Rattus norvegicus: one gene and its partner. The protein of the gene in region 2 interacts with the protein of the main gene of each other region in a pairwise test. Links are inferred from orthologs where the notes say so. Each region holds a gene or a part of one and is shown on either strand. Other genes may lie near its edges. The genes, in order: Mycbp and Mycbpap.

Region 1 (2,679 bases), on a different chromosome or scaffold from region 2:
GTCGAGTACAGCTTTCTTCCGTCCTTTTGAGAACCTGGAGCTAGCATGCTTCAGACAATGCAGACTGTGTCTTAACAACGCAGTGGCCTAGACTGACCTAAACAGCTTAAGAACTTACTTTAAGCAGTATCAGCCAATGTCCCCACCTTTTCATTGATGTAGGTTCTCACTCCCTTTTCGTGACTATACTTGCCTATCCAACTTTTTATCGGTCTTGGGACTTTTCTAGATGAGGCTTAAGTTTGCCATGGATCTGACTGAAACTGATACTGTCCCTCCCTGCTACCCATTAGTGGAGTTTTGGGTTTAGTTGTTTACTGTGGTTTTATCATGCTACAGATGGAACCCAGGACCTTCTACTCATGCCAGAAAGACGCTCGACCACTGAGCTATATCCCTGGCCTGCAGTAAGGATTGGTCAGATAATCATTAGAGGCAAGATTACTTTTTAATTTGAATTTGGTTTTTAAATTTACCTTTGCTTTCAGTTTTTTATTTTCTTCTACAGTAGCTTCATATTTCTCTTTCATTTCTGCCAATTCTAGGCGAAGCAGCTCTATTTCTGGGTTCTCCGGGGTGGCAGCTCCTAAGTGATGCTTTAAAAAGCTGACATCAGTGTTAAGAACATACTCAGAGCAGGGTGGGCCAGGACAGTCACCACCACACCACAGCGGTTGTCCAGGGTCAGGTGAAGAGTCAAAAGAACTTTTCAACAAACAAAGTATTGAAAGCGCATTATATATGTGAATAAATAAAAATGTCAGAAATATGGCTTTTTCCCTTCAGAGATGAAAAGGATACTCCAGAGCACTGGTGGGCTTCTCTGGTTCTTCATATAAGGCTACCAACACTGCAAATCAAAGAGAAAGAACAATTAAGTCTCCAGTGTAGACGGCTGAAATATTCTGAAACTCAGTAAACACTGTCTGCCTGCTGTACGGTGAGCAGATTGCTAAGACTGTCCTGTCCATACAGTGGTGAACAAGTCAGACAGTACCCTTGCTAGCAACAAACTCATCAATCTGTCGTAAAAGATAAGGAACTAAGAGAATACTCAGCTGTAATAGTGGTTAGTGAGTTTTAGAATACTCAGCATCAGAGGCAGATCTGAGACCTAGCTGCATTTCAGATTAAATGGAAAAGCTCAAAGCATATACAAGGGAACCAACAGGTCAAGTATGTTGTGGGGTTGTGGGTAATAAAAGGAAAGATAGTCTGGGGCCAGACTGAGACAACTGAGAAAAGCTTAGTTGAATTTTGATCCTAAGGACTACAAACATTATTTCAACAGTTTGAAAGCAAGGAGGTAGCAGGGTCACTCCTGAATGCTGTATACAAGCCTGACTTAAGTGGGACATGGAAAATGGCCCAGAAGAAAGCCGGGTACCCATACCTGTACTCTCAGTACTAAGGAGGTGAAGCAGGGGACTAAGGAGTTCAAGATCATTCCTGGAAAAGCAATGAGCTGGAGACCTGAACTACAAGGAGCCCTGTCTCAAAAACAAAAAATCTAATGTAATGTACTTGAAGACATTTTAGGTAATTAACAGCATTCCATTTGAAACGTTCAAGAATTAAGTTTCATGTATGACAAGCTAGGCACCAACCAAAAAAACGTTACCACAGTCAACATGCTCAGACTGGCATTAACAATGTGCTAGCACTTCCTGTCAACACTGTCTCTCACCTACTGAACAAGGATTCAGTATGCAGGGGGCAAGGTCTCCACACTTGTGCTGAGGACAATTTGAAAAACTCTCCTAAGGCTGTGTATGCTTGAGTCAGTGTGTTGCTGAGACAGGTAACCCAAGCTGACCTACAATTCACTATTGTACTACCAGCTAGCCTCAAACTCATGGCAATCCTCCTGCCTCAGCACCCCCCCCCCCCCGTACAAGTGTTATAAAAATCTGACAAAAGTAAAATATGCAACTTCAATGTGCATAACTTGAGAGTCCAAATTAAGAAATCCTGTTGTAAACCAATGTACATGTGCTGGGTTTTCGAGTTTTAATGACAAAGTACAGACAATATGAAAAATGTCAAGTGAGCAAGCACTTTTACACCAAAATACACAGTTTTTTGAGAAATCCACATTTATATCGCAACTATCTGACCATCTCTTAGTATGTTACATTATCTCAAATCCCTACTACTACTTTTTTGCTTTAAAAAATACATTTAAAAGTGTTTCTTCATTTACTTCCACTGATCTGTACGGAGTCTTAGTCATTATTTACTTACTTTTAAAGATGGCATCTCTCTGTGCAGCCCTTGCTGTCCTGAAACTATGTAAACTAGGGTGGCCTTGAGCTCACAGAAACTGCCTGCCTCTCTGAGTGCTGCCTCCCAGGTGCTGAGATTAAACACTTGCACCACTAGGCCGGCAAGGATCTACAGGGTGTGACTATTAGTGCTCTTGCCTTTTCCTTCCGTCACTGCATCCTCACTTCCCTCCAGCTCCCAAATTCCTGCCTTGGTGTCTGCATGGCTGGAGCCACAAAGTGTTAAGTTTTGTGTTCTTTTCTGTGGAATAATTGTGCTTTTTATCTGAAGAGAATTCAACCAAATCATATTCGCTTTTGCTTTAGAAGCTAAATTTACTGTTATTACAATATTGGGGAGGAGGTAGAAATCAGAGGACACAGTTCAGAGACCTATACCCTCTGCGAATCAAAC
Region 2 (3,823 bases):
AACTCTGAGATTTGCTCAAAGCCGAGTGAACCAGGATTTGGGACGGAGTCATGCTGACCACCACCACACACTACCCTGCCTCCAGCACCAGGCACAAGAAGCTAATAGATTTGGGCCCTTGAAGTGGAAATTTCTCATTTCTTTGGAGACACAGTTGTATCATGTGATGTTTTTCCTGTGCTGCTTTTCTGGAAACTGTGTTCTGGAGAGGATGTTCTGCTGAAGCAGACACATGTGAGGATGTTTTGCTGAGAACAGACATATGGTGTTTTTCTGGAAGCAGCCTGGGAAAAGGACACATAATGTTTTGCTAGAGTGGATGCTTGAGAGAACACGTGATACTTGGGAGGGGTGTAAATATAACCCAGCAGACAGACAATGGATGACACTGTGTGGTATTGGTTCACCTTGCCACTCTTTGCTGGTCATCATTTGTCATGACTTCATAGAAACACCACCAAAGGACTTCCGGTGGTGTTCCAGTGGCTTCTTGCCTCAGAGCCTCTCTGTATCCTTTGGATAGAACTGACATTGCTGATTTGTGCATGGTGTTTTCGAGTGGATAAAGCTACTGCTGATGTGTGTGGACTGAACCTCTGATATCTTGACAAGGCAGATTGTATTCGCTCCAAAGAACTATTTCTAAAAGAGGGTCCACACCCTCTTTTACCTTATTAACCTTTCCTTCCTACTTCCTCTGATAGGCTTAATTACTTGCTTAATTAAAGTAAGTTTTGAAAAGTGTAAGCCTATAGCCCTGCTTCTCACCAGTCTCCATTTGGATAGAGAAGGGCTTCCTGATGTGTGTGATGGGTTCCACCAGACCACGCTGCTTTTTCTTCTTGGTCATGAGAAGACCTGACTTCTCATCACCCAGGTATTCCAGCGGGCTCCAGAAACAATTCATCGCCTTAAAGTCAAGATGAGGAAGGACAGAGCAGTGAGGTCACCCCCTCAGTACCATAGTCAGAGACTCACTGGGACATCCACTCGGACCCACTGGCGGAAGAGTGAGGCATTCAACAATATTCTAGTTCTCAAGAAGGCAGAAAGATGGGTCCCAGCCCAGGCACTCATGGATGTACCAAAACCTTGGTTGGACCAAAGGTTGGAGTATAAACCTTTAGGAGACAAACATTAAGACTCTTATGATAAACCAAATACCAGAGACCACCAGAGGCTGAGTTATTAAAGTGGGCAGTCATGGAACATGAAATAAAGAATCCCAGGGCTTAACAGTGCTTGGTAAAGAAAAGGTGATTTCCTCCCATACAGTTCACCATGTGCATTCTGAGCTGTTCCCCCACCCACACTCCTCTCTCCCGCTCTTCCTCACTTTTCTGTCATGCTGGGTAGGAAGTGCACGGTCAATGGCCTCTCGCTCTTCCTGGATCTTTCTGTAGCCCTCCCCACTGTTCATCAACAGCTCACTTGCTGGCTTCTTCAGGTGCTCTAGAGAGGGAGAGAAGGAAGACTGTGATTGCTGCACCAAACACAAAGCACACTGAATTGGGTGGTCTACTCCCGGGCTCATTTCAGAACACACTGAAGCCTGAAACCCAGAAGCTTCATGTTAGTCAGTGTAAGTCCGGGCTGCGGGGTGGGTGAGAGAGAAGACACAGAAGGCACAGGCGAGCCTCGGTGACAGATGGGGGCCTGGCAGGTCCCTAGTCAGCTCAGCTTACCACTGAGAACTTCCTGTTGCTTCTTCCGCAAGGTGATGTGCCGTCTCCAGTTCTTGAGGAAGTTGTGCTGAAGAGGTGGGGCCCATGGAGGCCTCTTCTCCTCCTTTGGGGACTTTGGCTTTGGCTCTTCTTTAGCTGAGATGAGGGTCATCAGGCAGGGCTGGATATTGATCAGTTTAGCCAGCTGGAAAAAGCAAGGTAGAGGAGGTGCTGACCCAGGTCCTAGGTTTTGTCCTGCTCTAAGGATCCCTCCTGTTCAGGACCAGAGGGTGACAAGTGACAGAAAACAAACCAGGGCCTGAGGAATGCTGACAGTCCCCTCTGCCCAGAGAGCTCAGCATCCCTTAGGGTGTAGCCATCTTCTCCACAATTGATGACTTCCTCCTGAGTAAGTGAGCAGGGCCCTTAGTGCCCTGCCTAACAGAAGTGAAGGCTCTGAGGCAGAATTGGGGGATATCTCCCTCCAGCATGTATCTCAGCAATCCAGTCTCCAGAGAAGGGGCATGAGGAGCTGAGGTCTGCTTTGCTATTTGAGTTTCACAAGGCAGGCTCTGAGTTCCTTCTAGTAAATCCCCACTTCAGCTAAAGCTGTCTATCAGCAACTGGTTTCTGTGACTTGCAACTGCCTCCCAAAGGGTCCCTTATCATCCAGGCCCAGAGTCCAACTAGCTCTAAAACCCTACCCCTGGGCCCCCATCTCCACACACGCCCCTTTGACTCTATGGCTTCAGCAACGTCTCTCAGCCACTTAGCTCTGTGCAAACAAACCTGGGTGTTTCCCCGAGCAACTGCGATTCTTTTAAAGTCCTGAAGACTCCCCAGGATCTGGTGAGGGAGGATCTGGTCACTACTTAAGAAGCTGTCCCGAGGACCTGGCAGGCAGGGAGAGAAGGATGGAGACCCAGAAGTTGTGAGTCACACACAGAGCAACTATTGGCTGGAGACCCATCCAAGAATGCAAAGCCCACAACAGAACCCATACCGGAGTAGTCCAGAGGCTTTGTGGTGGCATCTGGATTAGCAGGATGTGCTACCAAGTGGTAGACCCTTTTGCAAGAATCTTTCGGTTTGAGCTTACGGATGATAAACTTCTGTGTAACCACAGGCTTTTCTCCTGTTTCTTCAAACTGAGGAATGTGTTGCTAAAACGAAACAAAGCTGAGGAGAATGCTACCTGGGGAGAAGAGGAAGCACACACACACACACACACACACACACACACACACACACACACACGAGTGCACACACATCTCTGTTCTTGGCAGAATTCCTGAGGGCTGACTAGTCGGCTTCCCCAGCCCCATCCATACATCCTGTTCTGGAAATGTCTGTGTGACAGACCTGAGATTTAGGAGTAACCTGGAGGGGGAAAAATGACACCTGACATGTCCAGACAGATTAAGTAAGAGCAAATGACAGGTAAGGGGAAGGGCTGGAGTTCAGCAGCCTCATGCTCATTTCTATCTGTGATGCTTGGACTTACTTGCCCATCTGTGGAATGGGCCTGATGGCACTTGCCCCAAAGTATCTCACTATTTTGTGGCTCTCATAAAATCTCAGAAATATGAAAACCTAACTTCCCGTGAATTCCTTCAGATGCTAAAGTGAAAGAATTTATATTTGGTGTATTTTTTTTTCCTGACATGGTATTAGTGACTCCTTGGGATTAGGAAGCCAGTGGCGGGGTGAACCGTGAACATGGCTGGGTGCTCTAAGAGATCCTTGGCCTTGGTCTTACCTTCGTCAAGTCTTCCTTTTTGATGGCCAAGGCAAGAATGTCATCTCCTTGTAAGACATTGCTGACAGGCTCAGGCTCTTCCTGGATGGGGGGGGTGGGCTGTTCAGGTGCCTTCGCCCGCTTCTTTTCTGGAGAGAGGTAAAGAGCTATGTCCCAAGAGCTCTCTGCATATCTTTTTTTTTTTAAGATTTATTTTATTTATATGAATACACTGTAGCTGTCTTCAGACACACCAGAAGAGGGATGGTTGTGAGCCACCATGTGGTTGCTGGGAATTGAACTCAGGACCTCTGGAAGAGCAGGTCGGTGCTCTTAACTACTGAGCCATCTCTCCAGCCCTCTGCATATCTTAATACACAAACAAGATACACTGAGGGCTCAGGATGCAGCTCAGTAGTAG

Evidence for each region.
Region 1: the proteins of Mycbpap (region 2) and Mycbp interact in binary tests that used the Homo sapiens proteins (3 or more experiments, as listed by UniProt). The link is inferred for Rattus norvegicus from reciprocal best matches to the Homo sapiens genes MYCBPAP and MYCBP.

What each region holds. Positions count from the first base shown.
Region 1 is NC_086023.1:141,423,440-141,426,118, reverse strand, and holds part of Mycbp (C-Myc-binding protein), read right to left. Parts: intron 851-2,679; coding exon 802-850; intron 607-801; coding exon 477-606; intron 1-476. UniProt on the Homo sapiens protein: May control the transcriptional activity of MYC. Stimulates the activation of E box-dependent transcription by MYC.
Region 2 is NC_086028.1:79,957,045-79,960,867, forward strand, and holds part of Mycbpap (MYCBP-associated protein), read right to left. Parts: exon of another isoform or gene 3,552-3,823; coding exon 3,424-3,551; intron 2,828-3,423; coding exon 2,668-2,827; intron 2,558-2,667; coding exon 2,454-2,557; intron 1,870-2,453; coding exon 1,686-1,869; intron 1,453-1,685; coding exon 1,337-1,452; intron 911-1,336; coding exon 769-910; intron 1-768. UniProt on the Homo sapiens protein: May play a role in spermatogenesis. May be involved in synaptic processes.